7 linked regions of the Rattus norvegicus genome follow. The protein of the gene in region 2 interacts with the protein of the main gene of each other region in a biochemical or structural test. Links are inferred from orthologs where the notes say so. Each region holds a gene or a part of one and is shown on either strand. Other genes may lie near its edges. The genes, in order: Smad4, Cebpb, Rb1, Cebpg, Kat2a, Ep300 and Ddit3.

The links.
Region 1: the proteins of Cebpb (region 2) and Smad4 form a complex in vitro, tested with the Homo sapiens proteins (2 studies listed by BioGRID and IntAct). The link is inferred for Rattus norvegicus from reciprocal best matches to the Homo sapiens genes CEBPB and SMAD4.
Region 3: the proteins of Cebpb (region 2) and Rb1 form a complex in vitro, tested with the Homo sapiens proteins (2 studies listed by BioGRID, with this or other methods). The link is inferred for Rattus norvegicus from reciprocal best matches to the Homo sapiens genes CEBPB and RB1.
Region 4: the proteins of Cebpb (region 2) and Cebpg form a complex in vitro, tested with the Homo sapiens proteins (2 studies listed by BioGRID and IntAct, with this or other methods). The link is inferred for Rattus norvegicus from reciprocal best matches to the Homo sapiens genes CEBPB and CEBPG.
Region 5: the proteins of Cebpb (region 2) and Kat2a form a complex in vitro, tested with the Homo sapiens proteins (2 studies listed by BioGRID, with this or other methods). The link is inferred for Rattus norvegicus from reciprocal best matches to the Homo sapiens genes CEBPB and KAT2A.
Region 6: the proteins of Cebpb (region 2) and Ep300 form a complex in vitro, tested with the Homo sapiens proteins (2 studies listed by BioGRID). The link is inferred for Rattus norvegicus from reciprocal best matches to the Homo sapiens genes CEBPB and EP300.
Region 7: the proteins of Cebpb (region 2) and Ddit3 form a complex in vitro, tested with the Homo sapiens proteins (2 studies listed by BioGRID and IntAct, with this or other methods). The link is inferred for Rattus norvegicus from reciprocal best matches to the Homo sapiens genes CEBPB and DDIT3.

What each region holds. Positions count from the first base shown.
Region 1 is NC_086036.1:69,532,685-69,536,184, forward strand, and holds part of Smad4 (mothers against decapentaplegic homolog 4), read right to left. Parts: intron 3,402-3,500; coding exon 3,282-3,401; intron 3,191-3,281; coding exon 3,074-3,190; intron 1,803-3,073; coding exon 1,752-1,802; intron 1-1,751. UniProt on the Homo sapiens protein: In muscle physiology, plays a central role in the balance between atrophy and hypertrophy. When recruited by MSTN, promotes atrophy response via phosphorylated SMAD2/4.
Region 2 is NC_086021.1:176,815,550-176,818,936, reverse strand, and holds Cebpb (CCAAT/enhancer-binding protein beta), read right to left. Parts: upstream 1,933-3,387; 5' UTR 1,880-1,932; coding exon 986-1,879; 3' UTR 501-985; downstream 1-500. UniProt on the Homo sapiens protein: Important transcription factor regulating the expression of genes involved in immune and inflammatory responses. Also plays a significant role in adipogenesis, as well as in the gluconeogenic pathway, liver regeneration, and hematopoiesis.
Region 3 is NC_086033.1:54,909,058-54,913,244, forward strand, and holds the start of Rb1 (retinoblastoma-associated protein), read right to left. Parts: upstream 2,801-4,187; 5' UTR 2,625-2,800; coding exon 2,509-2,624; intron 1-2,508. UniProt on the Homo sapiens protein: Tumor suppressor that is a key regulator of the G1/S transition of the cell cycle. The hypophosphorylated form binds transcription regulators of the E2F family, preventing transcription of E2F-responsive genes.
Region 4 is NC_086019.1:96,826,937-96,830,962, forward strand, and holds the start of Cebpg (CCAAT/enhancer-binding protein gamma), read right to left. Parts: upstream 2,801-4,026; 5' UTR 2,642-2,800; intron 2,609-2,641; exon of another isoform or gene 1,909-2,608; intron 1-1,908. UniProt on the Homo sapiens protein: Transcription factor that binds to the promoter and the enhancer regions of target genes. Binds to the enhancer element PRE-I (positive regulatory element-I) of the IL-4 gene. Binds to the promoter and the enhancer of the immunoglobulin heavy chain.
Region 5 is NC_086028.1:86,134,761-86,137,485, forward strand, and holds part of Kat2a (histone acetyltransferase KAT2A), read right to left. Parts: intron 2,599-2,725; coding exon 2,488-2,598; intron 2,406-2,487; coding exon of another isoform or gene 2,403-2,405; coding exon 2,266-2,402; intron 2,183-2,265; coding exon 1,974-2,182; intron 1,782-1,973; coding exon 1,655-1,781; intron 4-1,654; coding exon 1-3. UniProt on the Homo sapiens protein: Protein lysine acyltransferase that can act as a acetyltransferase, glutaryltransferase, succinyltransferase or malonyltransferase, depending on the context.
Region 6 is NC_086025.1:114,986,401-114,990,656, reverse strand, and holds the start of Ep300 (histone acetyltransferase p300), read right to left. Parts: upstream 2,801-4,256; 5' UTR 1,831-2,800; coding exon 1,737-1,830; intron 1-1,736. UniProt on the Homo sapiens protein: Functions as a histone acetyltransferase and regulates transcription via chromatin remodeling. Acetylates all four core histones in nucleosomes. Histone acetylation gives an epigenetic tag for transcriptional activation.
Region 7 is NC_086025.1:65,000,352-65,004,494, reverse strand, and holds the start of Ddit3 (DNA damage-inducible transcript 3 protein), read right to left. Parts: upstream 2,801-4,143; 5' UTR 2,766-2,800; coding exon of another isoform or gene 2,703-2,765; intron 208-2,702; coding exon of another isoform or gene 166-207; 5' UTR 160-165; intron 1-159. Other genes in the region: uncharacterized LOC128125814 homolog, read right to left, coding at 166-207, 2,703-2,765. UniProt on the Homo sapiens protein: Multifunctional transcription factor in endoplasmic reticulum (ER) stress response. Plays an essential role in the response to a wide variety of cell stresses and induces cell cycle arrest and apoptosis in response to ER stress.

The sequences.
Region 1 (3,500 bases), on a different chromosome or scaffold from region 2:
CAGATCTGAATGTGAGCCTATAAATCTGGTATGAGCATATGAATATACTCCTGAACCACAAACACCGCAAAGACACTGAAGAAAACACAACAGAGTGGCTGACCTTCTAAAGAATATGTAGGTAAGGCACTGGCAGTGCACACCTTTAATCCAGTACTCCGGAGGCAGAGACAGGAGGATCTCTGGGAATTAAGGTAGCCTGGTCTAAATAGTAAGTTTCCAGGACAGCCAGAGCTACATGGTGGGGAGAAGACCATATCTATTCTACCTGTCCAATAAGGAAAGAAGATGTGACGCTGGTTACCGTGCATGAGTGTGGCTAGCATCAGGTAGCGTCGGTGGCACTGACAGGGGAGGGAAGGACACAGTTGAACGTTTCTTGCCTTGACCCTAACGTCTTCGCGTCTCTCTGACTCTGGATCTCTACTGCTGTGGGAACACACCGTGACCAAACAGCTTGGGGGAAAAGGGTTACTTCATCTTACAACAGCCTCAAGCTGCCTTCCATCCCTGAGCAAAGTCAAGGCAGAGCTTAGGTCAGGAACTGAAACAGAGCCCATGGAGGAGCCCTGCTAACTGGCTTGCTCCTCTTACAGCAACCAGAACCACCGACCCGACCCAGTAATGGCAGTGCTCAGAGTGAGCTGTGTCCGCCCATATCAATCATCAGGCAAAGCCCGAGCCCTGACCTACGGACTTCACTAGAAGGATAACTGCAGAACTGCAGCCAGGTGGACAAAGTCCCTTCACCCTTCAGGATGCATTGGCCACTTCTGTGATCTACTGAACAAGAGGTAGCCATGCCAGCACAGGTGCACAGAGGTATCCTCACGTACTGAATATTGTTCTCTAAAAGCAGGGGCTACTGTGAGAAGACAAAGCCAATCACTGCCATCACTTACTGCACTATGCATTCCACTCGTGTTACGTCTCTCTTCAGAACTGTTCCATCCCCTACTGAGCTACATATGAAACACTAAGTTATCCTTTAACTCATAGCCATATTTTGAAAGTCTTTATTAGACACACAGTTGTCCTGCGTCCTGTAGAGCCAGACGCCAAAACCTGCAGTTGTTCAAGTCTCTTACGTAAAATGATGCTTTGTTTGCAAATAATATACTAAAAGGCATGTGTAAATCATAGGAGAATAGATACCACATGGTCTTACATAAAGGGCTTGAGTAGTCTTAGAACTGGGTATCTGAGGGGCATCCAGGACCAGAACTCTGTGACTACAGAGAGGCAACTAGCTGTAAGTGTATCTTCCTGAGTGAAGAATGAGAAAAACTCCGGTTCCTATTGTCTGTGCCTTTGACATCTCAAGGTTTCAGGGTTTTCTGTGCTCAAAGTCTGTGTCTACCACATGGCCCCGGGAGTCACACCCAGTCCCATCAGACTTGGCAGCAAGCCCCTTCACCTACTGACCCACATCGCTGGCCTCCCCCTGGGTTTTAAGCCACACTTCGGAAGCTACTCTACTGCCGCTCAGTTTCCCTCTGCTGCGTATTTATGTATTCAATGCCAAAACCTGGCAATTCTATACATAATACCTGTTTTTAAAAGGTTTTTACGTTTCTTTCAGACAGTTAAAAACTATAGTCTATAACCATCACCTGCTCTTAAACTGCTGATTAAGTCAGTGATTATTACCCTGTCTGAGTCTAGTTACCCTGTAAATAATCCACCGGCATTCCCACACCAGTTATTCTAATAAATGTACATACGGGAAATCAATATTGAAATGCACTTACCAGGATGATTGGAAATGGGAGGCTGGAATGCAAGCTCATTGTGAACCGGCCCTAAAAAAAATAATAAAAACCCCATTTTATTTATTAAAAGTTTTCTAGTACTAAAACTTTTAATAAACCTTAAATACAAATATCATAAGCCTTAAAATTTATTTAAATCATTTATGCCAAGAATTTAAAAGTTTATTTCCTGAATTATTTTGTGAGATTAACAGCTAACCTCTTAGTGTTATCTGACAAATTCTATTTAACAATTTACCAGTTATACATGCAATATTTAATACAGATTATAAATTATTTATATAACAATAGTATAATTAATAATGCAATGTATAGTAATTTAAATTGCTAACCTTTCTAAAAATCAATGCTTATATTAAGTTAGGGGCATTTATATAATAGAACAGTAGCAATCATAATTGAAAGCTTACTTATCAACACACGGTGCTAAAAACTTCACAGAATTACTATACTCACTTTTTACAATATTGCTTCAAGCAGATAAAATTACAACCCTTGAGGCTTAGTAAGTTTAAACAAGTGACCAGCAATCATAGAGCAAACCCAGTAATTGTACACACTGGTCCAGGCAGCCATTAGAAATCACACTCTCCGAACACACGGGAAGGTAGTAATGTAACTGGTATGTAACAATAAGCATACATACATATCACACACACTCACTTATGTGACTGGAAGGAGAGAACACTAGAAGTATCCTCTAGTGTTATTATTTATGCCTTTTGTACTTTCCAATATTTTTGTATTATTAATCTTAAAATGAGAGGAAAAGTGGTATGTAAGACTTACATTCCTCACTTTTTACTTCATCCCTATACTTGTGATTTTTAAAGTCAAATGAACAGTGTTTCTATTCTACTGAAGCTGGACTGTCTGTAGGGTGTTGTCCCAAGACGCCTGTATGAAAAGGACACCTACACAGATCCAACATCTAAGATCTCTTGTATCTACTGCAGTGATTCTGTGGTGAGGGGAACCTTGAGATCGTAGTACTCAAGGCTTACGTCGACTGTGGGTGGGTACACATACAAGACCTAAAACATAAAGCAAACAAATGCATGGAGGTCGATGTAGTGTCGATGAGCCGTCAGCGACAGTGAGATGATGAACAGCGTGCAAAACAGACGTGTGACAATTAAGAACTGCTTACAAAAATACTGCGAAAGGAAAAAGCACTAATCATTTAACAAAATTAAATTGTAAGATGAATAAACGATGCAAAACCATTTTTAAGAAAATAGAAATCAAAGTACTAGCTAGAAAAGAAAAAGGCCCTGCGTACAATGAAAACAAGAGCTTACAGTAATGTCCAGGATGGGGCGGCATAGGCGGGTGGTGCTGAAGATGGCCGTTTTGGTGGTGAGGCAAATTAGGTGTGTATGGTGCAGTCCTACTTCCAGTCCAGGTGGTAGTGCTGTCTAAAAATTAAGGCCCATATGCATTAATTTGCTTTTATAACGGCTGCCTCTTTTTCTCAACTCTGAAAAGATTTAAAAGGCGTGTACATACTATGGTGGTAAGTAGCTGGCTGAGCAGTGAATCCATTCTGCTGCTGTCCTGGCTGAGGCCCTGAAGCTATCTGCAACAGTCCTTCACTATGGCTGCCTGCCAGAATGCTGGCCGGCTGACCTAGAGAGACAAGAAGACGTTAACACAGCACATGTGGAGATGCGGGTCTATGCTTTTATACAAAGACGAAGGTCTGATTATATCTGATGATCCACAATT
Region 2 (3,387 bases):
CCAGTCTCTCTTCCAGCTACACAGGGACATAGAAACCAAACAGACATGGGATGGGGTGGGGGGGGCGCTACACACCACCAAACACACAGTACTTTGAACACAGTGCTCACCTCCCTGATCCGGCTGTCTGGACTAGCCCTTCCTACATAGTCACTGCCTGCCTAGTCAACACAAGCCTGATACTCAAACCAAGCCCAGAGGGCGGCCCGTCCCAAGCAGGGTTTCTAGCAAGGTCCCCGGCACCCATGGGTGCTGAGTCACCCTGAATTCCTGACCCGGCACTCTGCCCCCTCTCCTGGGGGGAGGGGCTGGCATCCCATCTGCCAGGGGAGGAGAAAAACCCAGATGCGACACCCCCACCCACCACCACACACAACCCAAAAATAACCCGCAGCCCCCTACACACCAGAAACACAAAAAACAAAATCTCGCATAAATCCAAAGTCAGGAGGGAAGAAAAAAAATTTTTTTTCAAAAGCCAACTACTGCCCCCAAAAGGCTTTTTAAACATTCTCCAAAAAAGTTTATTAAAATGTCTTCACTTTAATGCTCGAAACGGAAAAGGTTCTCAAAATATACATACGCCTCTTTTCTCATAGAAATAGAACTTTTTTATATAATACAAAAAAATAATAAGACCAAAAAAAAAACAAAAAACAAAAAACAAAAACAAAAACATCAACAGCAACAACCCCGCAGGAACATCTTTAAGTGATTACTCAGGGCCCGGCTGACAGTTACACGTGTGTTGCGTCAGTCCCGTGTCCACACGCGCTCAGCCACGTTTGATCCGGATTGCATCAAGTCCCGAAACCCGGTGCGCGGTGCAGGTGCGTGCGCGCGGTGCCCACGGTGTCCCCTCGGTGCAGGTGCAGGTGCGCGCGGTGCACGCACGGTGCCCCGGGCGCGCGCGGGGACGGAGCGCGCGGGGCAGGGCGCACGGTGCCCAGGGTGGCCGCGGCGCCCCCACGCCACCCCCGCCGGGCTAGCAGTGACCCGCCGAGGCCAGCAGCGGCTCGGGCAGCTGCTTGAACAAGTTCCGCAGCGTGCTGAGCTCTCGCGACAGCTGCTCCACCTTCTTCTGCAGCCGCTCGTTCTCCGCCGTCAGCTCCAGCACCTTGTGCTGCGTCTCCAGGTTGCGCATCTTGGCCTTGTCGCGGCTCTTGCGCACCGCGATGTTGTTGCGCTCGCGCCGCATCTTGTACTCGTCGCTCAGCTTGTCCACCGCCTTCTTGGCCTTGGCCTTGGCGGGCGCGGCCGGCGGCCCCGCGAAGCAGGCGGCGGGCGCGGCCTTGGCGTCGGCGGGGCTCGGCGTCCCGGGCGGGCTGGACGACGACGACGTGGACAGGCTGCCGCTGCTGCCGCTCGGCGTCGCCTGGTAGCCCAGGTAGGCGCGCAGGGCGAACGGGAAGCCGGCCGCCATGGCGGGCGCGTCGTCCGCGCGCTTGCAGTCCGCGGGTTCGAAGCCCGGCTCGGCCTTGAGTGCGGCGGGAGGCGGCGGCGGGAAGCAGGCGGGCGGTGCGGCCTTGGCGCCCGCGCGGCCGAGGCTCACGTAACCGTAGTCGGACGGCTTCTTGCTCGGCTTGGCGCCGTAGTCGTCGGCGAAGAGGTCGGAAAGGAAGTCGTGGTGCGCGGGCGCGGGCGCGGCGAAGTCCGCGGCGGCGGGCGCGAGCGGCTCCAGGTAGGGGCTGAAGTCGATGGCGCGCTCGTGCTCGCCGATGGCCGGCTCGGCGGCGGGGGCGCGCGGCGCGGCGCGGGCCGCCTTGGCCCCGTAGGCCAGGCAGTCGGGCTCGTAGTAGAAGTTGGCCACTTCCATGGGTCTAAAGGCGGCGGGCGGCGGCGGGAGGCATGCTGCGTCCCAGGCCAGCAGGCGGTGCATGAACGCGGGGCCCGCGGGCTCCGCTGCGTCCCGGTCCCGTGCGCGGCTCGGACTCGGCTCGGCGGCGGCCGAGCGGGAGGTTTATAAGGCGGCGCCTGGCAACGGGCTGCGTCACGCCGGGGCCCCTCCCGCCGCCCCGCCGCCGGGTCGGTGCGCGTCATTGCCCGGCCGCGGGAGCGCGAGAGGGCGCGGCGGGGAGTGGGGAGCGGCGGGGGTCCGCGCGCGGGATACTGAGCGGTGTCCTGGGCGCCCCGCCAGCCCCGCGATCGCCACGGACGCGGGTGACGCTAGCCCGCCCCCTTCCCGCCCCTCGGGAACACTGAGGAGCGCTGCCGCCGCCCGCCCCCTGCTGGAGGACGCGGTGACTGGTCCGGCTCCTGTCCGCTCTCCCGGGCCCCCAACTTCTGGGAAACAGATCAGTCCACCCGGTGCACGACCCCAACCGTCGGATCCCGCCCGCTGTCCCCGGTCCCCAACTCCCTGGAAACAGCCTTCCACCCGGTGCATGTCCGCCCACCCAGGTGCTGCCCACGCCTCTGAGACCCCAACTCCTGGAAGCAGAACTCTCCACCCTGTGCACGCCCACCCCGGGGATGCTTACTGTCCCCGGATCCCAACCCTCAACCCTTTGTATGGCCCGCCCACCGCACCAGCCTACTCCACTCCCCACGCCTCTCCGCGAAGGTGGCAAGGGTGGGGGTTCTGCCACACTGTGTCTGTGGGTGAGTCACTTTGCTCCTCTGAGTTTCCTCCGTGGACAGTGTTGGTATTGTCGGTAGTGGTGTCCGGGTATCAGAGACAAATGGACCCCAAGAAAGACCCGCACAGCCCTCCCCGGAGGCTGCAGCTCCTCAGGTGGTTGCGGTGGGAACATGGCAGACCCAAGTCCAGTCGTAAGGACGCAACGGTCACCCGGAGAGCTGGAAAAACAAACTCTCCATGCACTTGAATGGGCACCAGGTTGGACCACCAGCCTCTCCCCGGTGAGACTCTTCCGAGAAGGCCCAGGACAACTTTGGGGGCCCACTCTTCTGCCACTCCCAGCCGGGCCACTCAAGCGGGAGCTGCCAACCTGCCTGGGGCTGACCCCCGACCCATTGACCCCAGGCCTGGCCCCGGCAAGCTGGCGGGGTGTTGCTCAACCTTCGGTGTTATCTGCTGAGCTGGGGTGACCTCCGCCCCCAAGAGCTGGAGAAATGACATCTCCCTGTGCCCTTGGGGGTGGGGGGCAGGGAGGGAAAGGATAAGACACTAGCCCTGCCTGCGGCTTTCTGGCCTTCCCAGCAGCCTCTGGGCCAGGAAGGGATCAGGGCCCAGAGAGGCGTGGTGACATCCCCAGGGCCACCCAGCCAGGCCTGGCTATAAAGTGGGACATTGGGGCTTCACTGACAGGCCTTCCCTCATCCAACACTGGTGACTGTTCTTTCTGCCTCTAGGCCACCATTCACACCATTGCCCTCCTTCCCTCAGTTTCCCCTCAGACTGGGCTCCAGAAAGGCAGTGCTCCC
Region 3 (4,187 bases), on a different chromosome or scaffold from region 2:
TAAAATAAATAACACCTCAGCTGTCAAAGTAGACTTATTCGAAGTGGACTGGGCTGAATCCATCCCTAAGCTATTTTCTAAGCTTTAGTCTGAGGCAGTCCTCTTATCCTTGCTAAGAACAGTCATGCGCTACATGACGTTTCGGTCAATAAGGCAGTTTGCAACAATAGTCCTGTAAGATTATAATGGCATAGAAACATCACTTAGAGGCCATCTTAACCAGCTTAACATTGTGGCACAATCCATTTGCTACTTGTGCAGTCACTTTGCTGCTGCAAACAAGTCTACTACCCTGCCACTTGTAGGAAAGAATAATATATACAAGGACATTCAGGATACAGTACTGGAAGTGATTACGTTACTGGCTTGTATGTCTACTAAACTATAGCTTTATCATTGTTTTACAGCGTATTTCTATCATTAAAAACTAAAGTTTACTGCACAACAGTATGTTTTGTTACACTGGCAGCAGCCTTGTATATATAGTGTTTACAGCCTCTCTTGATTGCAGCAAGACAGCAACAGTGAATGATCTATATATCACTGGGGTTTAAGTGCATTCTGCAGTGATCACACAAAATTAAGTTAATGGCACAGTTCAGAAAAGGTAGCAAATTCCTATGATGAAACACATGTAACTATGGGTAATTCAGATATCAACTGTAAGTGCTTTTGAGAACCTCTGTGGTAATGAGTAACCAAGATGAAACTATGTCTGGTATAGTTTAAGCTCAACGGAGAACTTTTGAGAATTCCCCAAAGTTAAAAGTATATTCAAGAGAAAGAAATTGGGTCTGTCTCTCCCCAAGCAATGGCCAGAACGTCAATGTGTATGTTCACTCTATAGTAATCAACAATATGTCCAAAGCTGTGTAGATGGCATGGAATCTTTAGAATACAGGATACTGCTTTTTCTAAAAGGGAAACCTCCACACACTGGATACATCAGAGTTTAATTGGAAACAAAAGCAAACTCTTTCCCTGGAACAGTCTCCAAACATAGTTTTTATTCTATATTTATTTTCTAAGAACATGATTTTTATTTGATCCACAAGAAAATCCATTTAATATGAATTTTAATAGACTTAGACAAGCAATTTCCAAAATCATTTCAGTCCCTTAGGATTTGACCTTAACTCGGTTAAGAGTCTGGGTCACACAAGGAGACTTGATGCTCAATGGGAAGAAAGGAGCTTGATTGTGCATCAGGGTGCTGAGTGCCTACAATTCCAGAACTTGGGAAGCTGAGGCAGAATAGAAAGCTCAGGGCAAGCCTGGGTTACAGAGTCAGAGTACTTAAAAAAAATAAAGTCAGGGACTTAATGATGGGCTAGAAATGGAAGGATGGTGAGAGACAAAACAATTCCCATACTACAATACAATGGATCTATACTCTCAAAATAAAACTACTGTTGGCGATAACAACAATCATATTGTTTCAATTTCTGTTACTTAATCAAACAGTAGCACAGTCAAGAAAAATAAAATGTTGAAATACAATAAATATCTCTCCGTTGTTCTTATTGGATCCACATGAACTTAAGTTTAGATTCCATTTAATAAATGGAGAGAAAGGTTCTTTGAGACAACATAGTACCAAAGAACAAAAAGGGGAGTGGGATGGGGGGTGGGGACAGGCACCTTTTGCTCAAAGGCAAAAGGCAAGAAATAATGAAGCATGCTGCGGGCCAATCAGCACGCAAGAAGAGCTCTACCCTGAAAAAAAGGGAACAAAGTTTAGAAACTTTCAAGCCCTTGCATTTAAATGTCTCCTGAAACTTTTGCCCACATACCAGTTCTTCTATGCTCCACCAGTCTCCACAGATGGCTTTAAATCCCCGGGGCCTCAAAGCATTGTTCTAAAGAAACCCCCACAAAGCCCGGGAGCTGAGGACCCCGTGAGCAATTGACACCCACGACCCTGCGCTTCGCCTACAAGGCTTTTCTTGGCCTCTCCCAGGACCAAGCTGCCAATGCAGCGCAAACTCAGTGGGAAAGGCTCCCAACTGTTGCATCGCCGGACTGCAAAACAGAAAGTCAACCCACCCCGGGGGTGCTCCGGATCTCCACGGAAGAAAAAAAAAGGAGGAAGAAAGAAGACAAACATCGGTCGACTTTTTTTTTGTTTTAATATTTATTTCAATTGTTTTTGCGTCTGACCGGGGCTCTCCAGGACCCGCCGGCTCCGCGCCTGGGCGTCGCTGGAGTAGAGCCTGCACCTGTCACTTCGCTCGGGAGCAGGAGCCCCACCCGCCCGACACCTGTCAAGCCGCAGTCCAGACCCCTTCGGGATGCCCTCCCCGTCGCCCGCGAGCCCAGGACCGTGTCACCGCGCCGCCGCCGTCCCGCGGAGGTGGGGGACCGAGGGGACTCCGGGGACCCCGGGCGCCGCTCCTATCGCTTGCCCGGCCCCGCCGAGATGCGCCCGGCGTCCCCGCCAAGATGCGCCCCGCGTCCCCGCGCCCTTCCCTTCCCTTCTCTCCGGCCCGCGGCGGCCGCGCTCCTCACCTGATCAGGGGCAGCTCTTCGGGGTCACTGTCCTGCGCGGGGTCGTCCTCCGGAGGCGGCGGCGGCGGCGGCGGGGGCTCGGCGGCCGCGGTTCTGCGCGGGGCTTTGGGCGGCATGACGCGCTGCGCGGGCCGGCGCGAGCAGGCGAGGGAGGCGCGCGGGGAGGCGGGCGCGCGCGCACGCCGGGCACGCCCCGTCCTCACCCGACTCCCGTTACAAAAATAATGGGAACGTCCCCTGAGGAAAACCGGACGCGCCCGGCAACCGAGCGCCGGGCCAACCGCGGGAAAACGTCACTTCCGCCCGCGGCGTCACGTCCGCGAGGCTCGCGGGCCGCGGGCGTCAGTGGGGAACCGGGGCGGCGGTGGCGGCGGCGGCGGGCGAGAGCGAGGGCGCGGGCGGGAAGCCGCAGGGAAGCCGCGCCTGCCCGGGCTTGTCTCCGCCCGCGTCGTCCCCGTGGGCGGCGCCAGCCGAGGCGGGGCGGGCCGGCTCCTAGGAGCCGCGGCCTCTGGGAGAACGCTGGACAGGGCGCGCCCCTCGACCGGCCCGCGCGGCCGGCAAAACAAAAACAAACGTGCCCGGCCAGTGGGAGGTGGGCTCGGCCGGGGTGGGCGGTCCAGGGTGGGGCCATTACTGGCCTTCTGGAGACGAGGGTAGATAGTCGATGTACAGAGTGAAGTGTGGAGTAAGTCTTTTGATGTGGAAACTGGAGGCGCGGTCCAAGCCCGACAGATCTTAACGGGAAAGGATCTTTTGAAAATCAGCTTGCCAGGCGGACCCAACTTTGAAAAATCGTTTACAAAATCGTTTGAAAAGAAAGCAGAAACCAGTTTGCCGTGTTAATGCGCGCGATCCAGCCCCCTTTCATAATTGTTTCTCAGAGACAGCCGGTCAAACTGGGGAGGCCAGCATTCCACTTTGCGTGTTGGAAATGGGAGTTCGGAGAGTTGATTACCTGTGTCACATAGCCGGTCGGTGGCAGAGGACTCAAACCCAAGTAATATTTGGTGACTCACCATATCACCAACGCACAGACACGGGGAAAGAGCACACTAGAACTACCGCCACCAAAAGCTGGCTCAGCAACTATCTTTTCTAGTTACAGTTTTTACGCGTCAGTCAACGTAATTTTCTCTCTTTGCCAGTCCTTATTGGTGGTTGCCACACAACTCCCTAACTGAGGTGCAGTGAATAAAAAGCAGTTGTTGTTCCGGTGTAAACTATCTTGGAACAGCTGAGCAAAAGCTGAGGAAGCAGGAACTTCATTGGGTAGGTTGCAAACCTGGGCTTATTCTCTGCCTTGACATGTGTGAAGGATACACAGACCTCCTTCAATTGTCAGTCCTGCCTAACTTCAGAAGCCTGTGAAGCAAATGTTAGTCAGGAGGTTGAGCCCAGGCCCTGATGCAGCCACCGAGAATGTATGGAATTAAAATAGCAGTTGAGTTCACCTTGTCCCAGATTTAGGCAAGAGCTTAGGTTACATGCAGTCTAGGTTTGAGGAAGATACAGGATAGACTGCAGGGGGCCTGAAAAAAATGACAGTCCTGCCTCAAAATTATCAGAGAATGTGACACTTGCTAACTGATGCCCCTGTGGTAATTTGTGGCAAGCTGCAAAAGAACCTGGGCCCTCAGACATGTAACAGAGCGGGTGATTGGTCATCTCTGCTGGTACTG
Region 4 (4,026 bases), on a different chromosome or scaffold from region 2:
GAGTAAAACTTTCTTCAAATGCAAATTTATTAACTAAAGTAATAATGTTCATTCAAAAGAATAAAACAATGAAACTCTGGAATGTTAGAATAGTAAAATAGAACTTGTCTAAATTTTTACTTGGAACAATAAACCTGTACAGAACTTCCCTAGCTTGTCACTTTTTTCCATAAACCTAGATAGAACCATGTATCCCTCCATTAGCCCCCCAAAATCAAATCTTCACTCAATTTCCTTAATGAAGGTTGAGTCTTCAGGTTTACAAACAAAAATATCCCACATCTCTTGTCGTTCCTAATGCCACAGAAATTACCTCAGGTTGACATCATCTCCCAGGAGCCCTAGCCTCTGGTGTAGCAGCCTGAGCTCCCTCCAAGCACCCACTATCTAGATTATCTAGAGCAATAGTTAACCTTCTTGATGTTTTGACCCTTTAATACAGGTTCTTCATGCTGTGGCAACCCCCAGCCATAGTTATTTTCGTTGCTACTACATAGCTGTAATTTTGCTATGGTTATGAATCATGATATAAATATCTGTTTTCGGATGGTCTTAGGTGACCCCTATAAAAGGATCAGTCATTTGACCTCAAAGAGTTTGGTACCTGCAAGTCAAGCAGTCTTCCATTCAAACCTAACAATGTCACATCTTGCTACTAAAAATCAATGTCTGTGACTACAGGATCAAAGCCAAGATCCTAACCCTCTCTACAAGTTCTGCTCCCTAAAGCATTCTAAATGGTCTCTGTTTTCTCTTTGTGCCTTTTGTTCAATCTGCTCCCCCAGTCTCTTTGGCAATCCCAGCTCCCTGGAGACTGTAGGAGGCAGAGTCCATGAAGGAGAGGAGACTCCTTCAAGGAGTTCAGTGTAAGTGGTCCACTGGAGTTGTGAAGAAAACATAAGCTTGTTTGGATGTTATCCTTTACATCTATTTATAGTACTATTTAGCACATTCAAAAATACATTGTTTATAACTATATTTATTAGGAGTTCCTGTTCACTTTTTTCCCTCTCTTTAATGGCAGGGCACAGCAATGGACTAGAGAGAGGACCAATAAACTTGCTAGTGTAAGAACCTATGCAACCACCCCTCTGAGGGAAACCTAAAATTGCTACAGTACTCATTATTGTGACTGTGGCAACTGTCAACCAGGTCCTGTGTGTCTTCCCATGATCTCAGAAGGGAATGCTCCCAGGGACTTTCCTAGGGAGCATTTAATTCGCTAGGGATGAAAGGACCTCTCCAAGATCACAGAGCTGGCTGGCAATCATGACGTGGTGTGAGAATTTAAAGGATATTGGGGGAGGGGGAGGGAAGTCTGCTCCCACCTATTTGTTTCTGATAGGTCATAAAAATAACTGAGTCAGTCGGGCATGCCCATCGGACTCAGGAAACAGACTCAAGTATTTCTTCAGCTCAGTAGCGTCCTGCCATTATCTACAGTTTTTCAGGAACAGGTAAGAACCGCAGGGATAGCTTATTAATACTACTCAAATGACAACAGCTGAACGGACCTTAGAGCGCTCTGAAGGCTAGGGATGCGGCTCAGAGGTAGAGTGGCTTGCCTACCATGCTCTGAATTCTTCTATGTTGAATTTCTCAGTAAAGACGGGGTGCTTTATTTCAAAATTTCCTCTGTGAGACAGGTATGCATTCAATGATAATATATTCAAGTAAGGATTCAAGCGGGTGGAAACTCCAGAGACACAGGCCCCAGCTGTTGTGCAACTCACAAAGGTTAAAACCTTTCTAAATTTGATACATCTTATGAGGCGGCTTACAAAGAAACAAACAAAATACAACAAAGAGCAGAGCAAATCTAAGCATGCCAGCCTTCTTAAGACCAGAAATACACAAGCGCACTTAGAAAGAGAAACAATCCTCACGCACGCCGCCCAACTTCTCCACCTGTATTCGTCTGCTGGCTCTTTTCCCGAGTTCCCTCCAGGCGAGCTAAGGAAAGGCTTCATGGCTTGACCTTCTGCGTCTAGTGAACCGGTGCGCTATCTAGGATGTCCTTCCCCTCCCAATGAACTACAAGACACGCGGCCGCGTCCCAAAAAACAAACGAAATCTCCCTCTTGCAGCGCTAAGTGTTTAAAAAATCAAGTGCCTTCCCTAGATGACCACTAGGTTATTAACTCCAAATAGGACCCGGGCCCTCCTCCCCCAGACCGAGCCGTTTGGGAAGCGACAGAAGAGTCCTAGGTGGCTCCAAAGTAAGATTCGGTCCATCTTCTATTCTAGAAACACTCTCCATTCCCAGGGGCCAATGCGCGCCAGGCTTGTCACGCTGCACGTCGCCGGGGAGCAGGTTCTGGAGGGGCCACCTGGTACTCCATCCCTTCCCCGACTGTGGTGAGGGGGCGCCTGGGGGAGCGCGGGGGTCGGCGCCCTGCGCGGCGGCGCTGGGCCGCGGCCAGGGATGAGCTCAGCCCCGCCGGGTGTTGCCCGCAGGTTGCATCAGACGCCGCTCCCGGTCCCCGCCCGCGCCGCCAAGCCGCCGGGGGCCTTCCGGGCCAACCTGCTGAATCCGGCAGGGCCGGGTCTCCTCGAGCCCGGCCGGTGCCTACGCGAGCGGCGGGCTCCGCTGCGGCCTCCTCCCCCAACCCCTCCGAGCTAGAACCCGCGGCCTCCTTACCTGCGCCTCCGGCCGGCCCGCCCGCCCCCAGACGGCCTCCACTCCGAGCGGCCCCGCGCGGCGCGGTCCGACCCTACCCAGGCCTCGCAGCCTGCGAGTCGGCGAGGAGGAGCGACGGTTACGAAACCGGCAGCCTCCGCCCGTTCCGCCACCGCGGCCACCGGCTTTCCCCTCCTCTTCGGGTCCGCGCGCTGCCGCCGCAGCCGTGACCAATAGAAGCGCTGCTCGGAGAACGACGCGCTCGCTTCTCAAGACCGGCAGCTCCACCAGCCAATCACAGCCAGGGTGGCAGCAAGAGGCGGACTTACGGCGGAGCGGGCGTGGTGGGCGTGGTAGCACCGGCGCTGGCTGGAGGCGCGCTCCGCGGTTTCCCCCTTAGGCTGTCCGTGGTGGCGGGCGGCGGCCCTGAGCGATGGGAGTGACCGGTAGCGAGAAAAGTTCTGTCATAGTAATGAGAGTCTCACCTGCCTTAGGGAAATGGCATTTCCTCGGGTGGATTTTTGAGTTAGTGATTTTGATTTTTTTTGTTTTGTTTAGGCCTCGCGGCCCTAGGGCGTCTGCAAACTTCATTTTGACAAAAGCACGTTAAGGAAAAACTGTCCAGTGCTAGGGTTAGCACTTGTCACACTCTTGAGAACAGTAGACTGTGGCTCTCAGACAAATCACGATTTCCAAAGTGTGCTCGTCTCTGTGAGAGCGGATGATGGACCTGAGGTGCTGTCTTAAAAGTGACAAGCAGTCCAGCCTGGTTCTCCCAAACAGTTCACAAAAGAATCAAAAAGCTGGTTTTGTTGGGTTTTGTTTGTTTGTTTGTTTGTTTTTGTTTTTTGAAGTACAGGAAGCAGCGTGCTGGGTGGAGGGCAGAGCCTGAGAGATAGGTTTGATTGCTTCCTCTTTAGCAATGCTTATCATTCAAAACTCACTGGCTTTCAAAAAGAAATGTTTCTTCATCCGCGCCAAGGCCAGGAGAGCAGCTCTCCACTTAAGACTTCCAGGAATCCCTGAGAGATGAGAATACCTACAAAAAAAGAAAAAAACAAAAAAAACAAAAAAACAAAAAACAAAAAACAAAAAACAGGCAAACACAGAGAATGACTCCTGATAACCCTATGCACATTTGGGGAGCTGTCTCAAAACCAGTATGTTTCTTTAGGTTTGGATCGCTGTGTTAAGAGCCATTTTTTTTTTCATGACTCTTAGCACTATCAAAGATGAACTGTGCTTTGTTTCTCACAAAATAATCATGATCTTATCCCTAATATTTTCTAATCATATAAAAACTATAGAAAATAAAAATATCCTTGTATGTCATATGTACATTGAGGTAGACTCTCTTTTTGCCAGCTACCCTCCCTGACAGCTGCATTCTGTGTTGGTTCTTGGCA
Region 5 (2,725 bases), on a different chromosome or scaffold from region 2:
GCCCTGTGGGGGAGACGGAGCAGGGAGGTCAGGTGGCCAGCAGAGGATCAGAGTTTGCGGAGAGAAAGTAAAGGGTTTCTAGATGCTCCTCTCTCAGGGCCAGATTCCAGGTTGATTCTTCAAAGACCCATTTGCCAGTTAGCCCATGACTAGGTCAAAAGCCCCATTTCGCAGGAAAAACACCAAAAAGACCCTGATAAGTCAGGTTGTGTATGAAGAACAGTCTGAGGTCAGTGGACCACGGACGCAGCAGAGCTGGGCTCCAACCCAACACGGCTGGGGTTTCAGAATAAAGGGGAAGAACAGAAAGGGGTCACAGAGGCCCGCTCATGTCAGGACCATACAGACAATGCACACAACTCGGGAGAACGAAAAGCCCAAAAGTAATTTGTTGCCAAAAGAGACAGAAGCTGGGACTATCAACTCCCCAAGGCATGCAAACCTTCCTGCCAAGAAACAAAGGTTCACTTGGAAAGTGTTGCTGCCGTGGGGTAGAGCTCAGTTAGCAGAACACTTACTCAGAGTGCGCAAAGACCTGAGTTCGATCCCTGGCAATGGATAAGACCTGGTGTGGGGGTACACACCTGTGATCCCAGTAATCTGGAGGCAGGGAGAAGTGGATCACAAGTCTAAGGTACCCCTGGACTACACAGTGTGCTTAAGGCTGGACTTGGCTATATGGGCCCTTCTCTGAAACAAAAAGTCCCTAAGGTTAACATAAAAATGCTGATTACTGGGGCTGGAGAGATGGCTCAGCGGTTAAGAGCACTGATTGCTCTTCCAGAGGTCCTGAGTTCAATTCCCAGCAACCACAGGGTGGCTCACAACCATCTGTAATGGGATCTGATGCCCTTTTCTGATGTGTCTGAAGATAGCTACGGTGTACTCATATATAATAAATTCTTTTTTTTTTTTTAAAGATTTATTTATTTATTATAAAAAAAAAAAAACAAAAGATCGTTGGGAGCAGAACTTAGTGGTAGAATATTTGCCTGGTGTACACAGGGCCCTGCATTCCATCCTGCATCAGAAAAGAAAAAAAAATCATTGCTGATTTGGGTACTTTTTGTTTGTGTTTTCAAAACAGGGTTCCTCTGCACACCCTGGCTGTCCTGTAACTCAAACTGTAGACCAGGAAGGCCTTGCCTCTGCCTCTTCCTCCCGAGTGCTGGGATCAAAAGTATGTACTACCCTACCCTGCTGATTTTTATCATATCTGTATTTTATTATTATTTATCATTTTATTTAATGTGGGTGATGAGGATCAAGCGAAGGCCTTCGCATTTACGCTTTACCAGAGAACCATCTCCCCGGCCCTCAGAATGACATCCACTGTTTTGCTGTTGCTAGAGAGGCTTTCTCTGTGTTTCCGGCTGTCCTGGAACTCACACTGTAGACCAGGTTAGCTTCGAACTCAGAGAGACCCTCCTGTCTCTGCCTCTCCAGTGCTGGGATTAAAGGCCTGCATCACCACTGCCCAGTGTTTTCTCAATGATCAGTTATCAAGGTGAAGCTGCCACCCTGAGGGAGTATGTGGAAAGTCTGCTTGATACAGCAAGGGCTGGGGCACAGATATCCTGCCATTTCGGCTGGCTTGCTCCATATTCGGAGGCAGGTGGTAGAACGGGGTCATGGTCAGGGGCACTGTGCTCACCTTGACCTGCTCATTTGAGGTGACAGCACAGAAGACGATTTCCGTGAAGCCCTGGGTGGGAAACATGCGGAAGCAAATCCCACCGATGACCCGCCCATCCTTGATCAAGGCCAGGGTCTTATGCTTCCTAAGAGAGAGGGGACATGTCACGGGACTCACCTGTCCTCTCCTTGCTCCCCAGGTCCCTCAGCCACGAAAGGGTGAAGTGTCATCGGGGATAAGAACAGAGGAAAGGTGGAGCCTTACAATTAGGAGAGTGTCCAGTGGAGAGGGATGGGGAAGTCAAGGTGCTCTGGGGCTGGGGTGCCCAGGGACTCACGGGTCAAAGACGAGGCGGGCAATATATTCCTTGGGCATTCGTGGCAGCTGGTGGGAGAAGACGTTCTGCAGCCCCACAAGCCACAGCAGCACACGCCGGTTGGCCTTGGGCGTCAGAGAGTTGCCAATGACGTGGAATTCGATGATCCCTCGACGCTCTTCCAGGCGAGCTGTTTCATCTCGAGCTGCGTTGGCTGAAAGCAGGCTCGTCTAGGCAGAAGAGGGGTGGTGAGCAAGGGCCTCAGGAGGTTGGGGATTCCTTTCCCCACAGGTCAGCAGGTTGGGATGCCTACCTCGGGCCCCAGCATGGCAGCAGGGTCGGTGATGGTCAGCATGACCTCGTTGACCAGCTCCATGGGAATGTCGCCCATCACTCGGAGCCGCTTAGCATCCTCCAGAGTCAGGTTCTCAGGAAGCTTCCTCTTCTCTCCTGCTGGGGGGGATGACAGGGTCACCCTGGGATAGCAGGAAATGTGGAGGGGAGGGTGAATGGCGGTCAGCAGTCAAGTGCCCACCTGGCATGGGCTCTGTCCCTGTGGAATCTAGGCTCAGGGAGCTGTTGCTGCCTCCGCCCATGGAAGGACTGAAGATGGGAGTGCTGGGTACAACTGTTGCACTGACAGTCGCTGCAAGAGAGAAGAAATCAAGGATGAGGGAGTGGACGGTGTGGCTAGAGGACCTGGCAGGGCCTGCAGCCCCATCTGAGCCCCAAGGTGCCTTCCCACTGCTATCATACCCCACCACTGTTATCCC
Region 6 (4,256 bases), on a different chromosome or scaffold from region 2:
CTTTTTTTTTAAACCATGAGTTAGCCAAAAGCTATACAATTTAGCAAAATACATAAATCAGACCAAGAATGCAATAGTCCACCTGAACAGAAAGGTATGAACAGACTTTAAGATTGAATCACTCAAATCAGAACATCAAAAATTTTCATTTTAAAAAGTTTTCCATACAATATTTCATGTTACTGGTTATGTCAAATTTGGCAACTTGTGAACATATTACAGAAGTACATTTATTATGAGGGTAGGGAATGAAACAAAAATGCAAAGCGAATGTGTCTATAAAATTAATGTCTATGCCTATGAATTTTAAAGACATACTTTTAAAAAATTTCTTTAAGACCTCAGAAACTTTACAGCTGAAATGCTCACATATAACTAAAGTTAGAGCCTTAGAACATTGCCAGACTCATCCTCCTTCCCAACTGTTGCAGCTAGCAAAACTCATGGTTCACAATACAGCTGCTAAAAAAGCAGAGTAAAGCACTAGTTCTATCTTATTTTCATGCCTTCGTCATAAATCCTACTGAGAAACATGGCCCACACGTTCTCTACAACTCGCAGGATACATTTAACTCCATTATACACTCCGCGGGCAGATCGAAGATGTTGAGCCTGTTCTCTGAGTTCAAGAGATGCTTGTAGTAAGGGGGAACATCTTGTGGACTGTCAGATGACCAGTCATTATTCTTCATCATCCTGGCCTCTCAAACAAGTCAGACAGCAAGAGGACCAGGTCGGTGATCATCAGAATAACACTAAACTAACAGTAAGTAGAAAAAAGAACAGACGGTGGAAAGTCTCCCTGCAGGTCTCCTAACAAAGGGGCTGACTGAAGAAAAGAATTCCTTGATCTTGAAAACTGAAATTGCAAAGGTCCAAAAAGTAAATCAAAATAAGCATACAAGCACAAAACCTACTGTACATTTTCAAACTTGTACAGTCACTTTAGTTGGAAGTTCATGACTGGGACTCTTTCAACTTCTTATCTCCATTTCTAAGTACCTAATTCCAGAAAGGCTTCATCTTTTCTCTTTCCCTTCTAAATAAGAAGGGTGACAACAAACTGCAAGGGAAATGCCTCAGGTCTCCTCACCTGATCAAACACCCAGTTTGAGACATTTTGGTTTCACACCAAATAGATATAAAATAAACTGCGGTCCATACTGATTCTTGAGCCAAGGATGGAGAGGGGACTTAAAAAACAGTATTTTGTTGAACTTTACGTTACACTTAAAACCTTGTACTGCACACACCAAGATTTGTCTTCCACCCCCATTCCTTAACAGAAAATCTGCTTCACAGGAGTAAAAACCTTTAAAGGTGGAAAAGCAGAGGGAAAAGAATTAAGTGCAACAGGGGAGAAAGATTTGAAAACCTCATTCGCCAGTAACAAAAAATAGTAAAAGTGCATAAAAGCCCTTACACACAACTGTACCGGCATTTCCCAAATTAAATTGCATGGAGCCGACAATAAAGGTCCATGCAGCTCCCACTTCCAAGCTCTTAATTCCAGAACACACAACCATCTGACATGACATAGTGTTGCAATGAATGTATCAGAAGGCAAAGAAAATGGTTGGGCTGCTGGACGTCTTCAACCAGTCCATTCAAAATCCTTTAAAATTAAACACCGGCCGGAGAAATAGGAAGAGATACACAGAAATACCCTAGAATGAAGGTGCAACCAGCAGAAAAGACGAAGGGAACTATGGAAGGCCGGGAGTCCCGAGACTAACCTGTGCCATCGCTGGCGGACGCCGAGAGGGCCGGAGATGAGAGTTTAGGCCGCTTGGCTGAAGGCGGCCCGGGTTCCACCACATTCTCGGCCATTTTTAATTCTTTCGGAGATACAACCGAGGAAAAAAAACGAGAATCCTGAGGAAATCTCTTCTTCGAAACGGGGTCCCCGCCCCGCTCCTAAGGGTGGGCTCCGGAGCTCCGCCGCCACCCAAGAGGGGTGGGGGAAGTTCCTTTTTCTCTTCGCCTGGTTGCGGTGGCCGGAGAGGGATGCGGACTCAACAGAAATGGTAGGGGCAAGTGCGAGGGGCCGGGCCTAAACCAGGCCGGGAGGAGGGTACAGCAACACTGATCCCACGAGCACGTCCGCTGCAGCGAATTCTCGGGAACTCACAGCTCTACAGACGCAGTCCCCAGCCCGCCACAGCGAGTCCCTGCCCAGCCGAGGTCTCTCGGAGCTCCGCCGCCGCCATCAGCCTCTTCCTCCTCGGCGCTGTCCTCCTCCTTCTCATCGCCACAAGGAGGCGGGGGCGAAAAAAGGGGGAGAGGAGGAGGCGACCAGAGACACTCACCTCCTCCCGGTGCCCCCTCCCGGGCTTGCGCCCCCACCCTGCGAGCCCTCCTCCTCCTCCTGCCGCTGCGCTCTGCGCCGCTGCTGCCGCACCGGCCCCTAATGGCCGCACTGAGCTCACCCGAGCCGAGAGCCAGACTGGCGCCGGAGCCACCTCACATCGCGCAGCGGACAGCGGAGGCGCGGCGACGAAGCCGAGCGTGGAGCTCGCCGGCCCGAAGGGCCAGGGGGGCCGGGCCGAGCAGGGCGGCCCGCCCGCAAGCCCGCGCCGACGCCAAGCCCACCGACGCGGCCTCTCCGCGCGCCGCGCTCTCCGCCTCCACTCGCAAGCCCGTGGAGGAGAAATAAGTACGGCCGCCTCTCTGGCCCTCACGCCCGGCAGCCAGGTGCTGGGAGCTCCCGCCCCCCCCCGGGGGCTCGGCTCGGGGGCCGCCCTGGACGGCGGGCGAAGGCGCCGCGGGGCGCGGGGTTATGTAATGGTCCCCCCTTAGGCGTCGACGCCGGCCCGGGCTGCAGTGGGGGTGTGTGCGGGCAGGAGGGGGCTAGGGGTCGCCTCAGCCTTTGCGCCCCGGGCCCCCAACCACTGTCTCGGTCGCGGCCGCTGCTCTCCGGCCTGGTACCCCCCGCACTCCCTGCTCGCGCAGTTCGCACTCAGCCGGGCGTCCCGCTTGCCCCACTCTCGCCCGGTCCCTCTCGCTCTCTCCTCCCCCCACCCCCCCACAGGCTAGCACACAAACAAGATGGCGGCTGTTGTTTCTTGCCTCTGCCGAATCCTCCTTACAGGATAGCGGTAGCGGCGGCGGCCGGAAATGAGCCAAGATGGGGGGGCGGGGGAGTGGAGAGGGGAGGGGCCGAGGAACCGGGGGCGGGGCGAGGGCGGGGCCTCCTCCTTGCAGCTCACACAATGGGGGAAGCGGCGCCTGGGGGCGGTGCCGGCTCCAATCACGGGATCCGCCCAAGGGCCCAACGCGGTAGGCGCTTCCGCAAACTCCCCCGGCGTCATTCGGTGGCTCCCTTTAAAGGGGAGGTCTTGAAAGAGGGGGGCTCCGGCGTAGACTTAGAACGTATTTTCGGTCGGTGGACACTTAGGTTCCTGGGCTGGGTCTTTGCGCAGAATGTAGTCGGAGCTCTGGCGCTCCTCTGTGAAAATGAGCAGAAACAAGTTGGAGCGCCCGGGTTTTGCCCTCTCCGGTTGATCTTTGGAACTCCATTAAATCCGCCAAGCACCTGTGTGTTCAGGATAGAAACATTCCACACTCTTCATCGCCTTTTCGAAAGGAGCAGTTCATTTCTCAAAGTCACATTGCTAGTCCTTTAAGTTTCCTCTTGAAATGTCTGATTCAAAAACGAAAAATTTGGACTAGGATAATATTGTTAGAAAAATGGGGTGGGGAGGAACCACAGCAGTGGGAGGCTGTTTAGGACTAGACCGTACATGCATTTTTTTTTTTTTTTTTTTTTTTTTTGCCTATTATGTGTCTACACATCCTTACCAGCAACCACTCTTAGAAAAAGAATCCTTGAGAATATTTTTCTGGACCTGCCTGAAACTTCCAAGGTCTTTTGAAGGTATTTCCACCCATCTCTAACAGATGAACTTAATAAAAGAGCACTTTCTGCAGTGCCTTAAATATAAATATGGGAGAGGACAAAAAAATGTCAGGTGCTAAAAATCCATAACTCTAGAAAAGAGTGAGGAAATGCTCCTAAGAAGCTAGTGTTAGAGCAGTCCAATTCGAAGCAAAAAAGTAGGGAGCATGCTTTTAGGGTTCTCAAATTACTGGATTTCTGTGTTTGGGACCCTCAAATATAGGGAAAGTACCAAGGCTGTATGTGACACTGAAGGAAAACTTCCAAGATATTACCTACTGGATGGGTAGTAGGCTTGCCTATTCTTCCTGTGGCCTGAAAAGTTCAGTCACCAGTACTACCAAGAAAATAAAATTTT
Region 7 (4,143 bases), on a different chromosome or scaffold from region 2:
GACTTTGAGACAAGCCAGCTCTAAAACAACATTATGGGATCAGAGAAAGACATGGTCTGACAGCAAAAGCTGGTTCTGGTCAAGGCCTGGTCTAACTCTCATCCCAGCAAAGCAAGTTGAGCAGCATTAGGAGCTGACTGGGAGGGTGGCTAAGATTACCTGCTTTCAGGTGTGGTGGTGTATGAAGATGCACTTCCTTCTGGAACACTGTGGAGAAAGGGGAAGAAACAGGTCCTTTACCTCTAGCCTCTTACTGGTCTTTCTCTAGCTGGTTTCTTAATTTCTGTCATTGGATTTTGAGACAGTTTCTCTGTGAAGCCCGGGGCATCCTGGAATTCTGGAACTCAACTCTGTAGACCAGGCCACAGAGAGGCTCGTGTGTGTGTGTGTGTGTGTGTGTGTGTGTGTGTGTGTGTGTGTGTGTGTCCCTGAAGCCAAGGACAGGCATGCTTAACTTTATTTTTAGTTGCTGACATTTGTAGTCCTGATTACATAATAGCAAAGTCCTGGCCAACTAAGTTTTCTCTAAATCCAGATAGACCTCAGATCTGCCAAAGTGAGAACTAAAATACAGGGAAGAGAGATTTCAGCAGTATTTGCTTAAACTCCATTCCCATCCTAGCCTCCAGACCTGCCCTGGGATCTCCATCTCTTTTGGTTGTTGAGCAGGCATTCAGCTTACACAAAAGGCCTTTCCTACCAAGGGGGTACAGTTCTTACTAAATGGCAACTATAGGTGCCTAAAGCCAAACATTTGGTATCCTTAATTCCTCCCTTCTCAGATACCACAGCTCAGTCTAAAGCACTGGCAACTTCAATATTCTTTAGAAGTACCCAAAACCTAAATATTTCTCACTTTTTCTCATTATTTCCAGATGTAAACTTACCATGCATTATGCATTTCATTCCCTAGATTATTTTTGGAAGCCTTGAAATCTTTTTTTTTTTTTTTTTTTTTTTTTTTTTAGACAGGGTCTTGCTGTGTAGCTTTTGCTGTCCTGGAACTTACTTTGTAGACTAGCTGGCTTTGAACTCTGATCTACCTACCTTTCAAGTGCTGGGGTTAAAGGCATTTGCCATTATTTCCAGCTAAGATCTCCTGTTTCTATTCTTGTCTTTTTTATTTTCATGGCTGCGGGTTGACCTAGGGCCCTCTACATACTAGGCAAGCAGTCTACTATTGAGCTACACACTCAACCCTTTGTTTTTGTATTTATTTTGAGTTAGGATCTGACTATGCTGGCCTGGAGCTCAGAGCTCTGCCTGCTCCTACCTCTTTGAGTGTTGGAATTAAATGCATGGGGTCTTTCCCCAACCCTTTTAATTTAGGACATTCCTCTGCTCAGATCCCCCAATGGATTCCTGTTTCAGGACTGTTGAAAGACTAGCATCCTGAGAATGCTTGCAAGGCTCTACAGGACCTGCTACTTGAGTTTCCATTCACCACCCTCTCCTGCTTACTCTAGTCCAGCTCACTGCCCTGCTCCTAAGGATACTGGCACACTCATCTCAACCCTTCTGCTCCTTCTCTCCCTTCTATAAACCTCTTCCACATTACCTGCTTGGCTCACAGGCTTGCCTTCTTTCCATCTCACCCACCCACTGAGGCAATTCCTGAATGATAAAACCTCTAGCCACCATCCTGAACTATTTTTTCCCTGCTTCTGTTTTTCCCCCCTTTTGCTTTACATTGAAATGTAAGTTTTATTGAGAACAGTTTCGTCTTTTGCTTCTAATATACCCTGGATCCCCAAATGCTTGGCACATAGTGGGTGCTTATTAGGCATTTGTTAGGAACGAATAGAGAACAACTAAGCCCACTGAGCCCAAAGGCAGAGCTGAGCTGCCTGTCTCTGGGGACTGCAGACGCAATATTGCCCTGAGTGTTTCTCTGCAGGGTTGTCCTCTAGGGAAAACTCCTTGGTCTTCCAGTGTGTGGGACCTGGCTTTCATCAGCAGAGGAGCCCCAGGCCTGAGGGTGCAGAGACAAACAGTGGGCTGGCCTGATGCAACGGTTACAGAGATTAGTTGGGAGACAGGACTGAGGAAAGAAGCAGAGATCAGTCCTAAGAGAAGCAGAAGACCCTGGAGAGATCCCAAGTAATTTCCCATAGTTAAAGAGACCCAGGCTGCTCTCTTGTACGGAAACCCAGAAACCTCTGGGGAAAAGGGAAAAACCCATCTATGCTCCTCCCACCGGCACCCCCACTCGCAAAGATCTGTCAGTCTTTGAGTTGTCTTGAACGTTAGAGACAGCTACTAAAGTGGCCATGTTGGTGGTCCCTGAGGCGCTTCAGCTTGAAAGAGTTGGGGGGAATGAGGCTGGTGGAGAAGAGGTGCTAACAGCCGGAGTCCCCAACATTGGGGGGTGTGTCCTGTTGCCCCACCTTTCCTGCGAACCGCCTAGGCCTAAGATGGCCCGCAAATGGTCAGTACTGAGACAAATTTCCGAAGGCAACCGGAGTCCCTTTGCAGAGCAGGGACCAACCTGAGACAAGGGAACGGGAATGCAATCGCCCAAAGAGGTGGCCTGTAAGCACCATTCCCGAATCAGGAATTACCCGCCTTCACTCGCCCCTCAGTCTACAAACTCACAGTGGAAGGGGTGGGGCTACACCCTCAAGGACAGTTGCCTCTAACTTTGTGGAATAGCTATGTTGGCGAGGATGGGAAAGTAAGGGGTAGACGGAGTCAGTACTCGCCTCTCTCCTCAGGTTCCGGCTGTTATTTTGGCTCTGTCGCTGCCACCCGCTCATCTTCAACATGGTATGATCGACGTATTAGACTCAAGATACTGACCTCTGGAGCGGAGAGCGAGTATCTTTTATGCTATTCGGTCCCTCCTGGGGGGGGGTAGTGTCCAGGAGCCTACCAATCAGAAAGCGGCACGCTGGCACAGGCTCCGCCTCACCCCTCACGTCCGCCACTCAGGAGTCCCGTGGCCCCGCCTCCATCGCGCCCTCTGGCTCGAGAGTCTACGTTATCTCGGACCCGGAAGTGGCTTTGGGTCACGAGGCTTCGCAGAGGAGGTGAGTGAGTCATGCGCGCGCGCGGAGGAGAGTGCGGCGAGGGAGGGGATGACGTGGGGGGGGCGGAGGGGGAGCGGGGATGATGCAATGTTTGGCAACCGGTGTCCGCGCGCGCACGCGCAGGAGACGTCGATGGTGGTGGGAGGTGCTGGGGAGCGGGCGGGAGGGGGGGATGGGGGAGAGAGGAAAGAAGGCGGAGCGCCAGCTCACAGTGTCCAACGGCCCCAACGGCTGTCCTTCCTGAACTTGTCTGCCCACCTCCCATCACCTTTAACTTACTCCTCCATAAAAGACTCATTTTCCCTGGCCCCTCCCAACTAATGGGCACCGAGGCTCTTGAACCTCTTTAAAGTTTCCAATTTGTTCACCTGGATTGACATCTTCTGGAGTCTTTTAAGAGACCTCCTCCTCTTTTAGCCTTCTAACGCTTCCCAAAGACTGAGGTACTGGCATTTCCTTGGTAGTCCATCCGCTTCTCTCAGAAGGGCAGCTTTAACGTTTGTTTCAGAATCGTCCACTGCGTGCCAGAATTCAAGTTCTTTGTAGAGTGTAGCCTCCTGCCTACTTATCCTACCCCTGCTTTGTGTGATGCTCTTATGCCCTTCACTAAGCCCAATACCCACCCTTTTCCTTCTCCAAGATAGCAAGTCCTGTGACTCCCTGCTGATTAGCTGGCCTCATGCCTCTAGGTGTCTGGGTTCACGACCTAGAGACTGGGACGTGCATGCACTTGAGCGCATGATTGCCTGGACTGGGTCATTCTAGTTTAATTTGCCCAAGGAATCTACCGTACTCAGTTGTAAATTAAAGAATGATAGGTAAAGGTAAAAACAGCACTGTGAAGAAAACTTGAGTAAAAGTAAAAACATCTTGCAAAACCTATTTTTTGTGCCATGAAAACAGAGGCCATGTGGTGGCCTATTACATAGTCTGTCGTACACTCGGGAGGGGCAAGCCAGAGTTTGTCTAAGTAGAAACTGAACCAAGACCGGTTGCTATTGGATGGTGCGACAGTGACAGGTCCTTGGCCAGACTGCTCCTTCGCTCCAGACCTTCATTTCCCCTTCTGTTAGTAGAGGTTGGGGGTGGGCTGAACCAGATGGTCTCTCCTGGC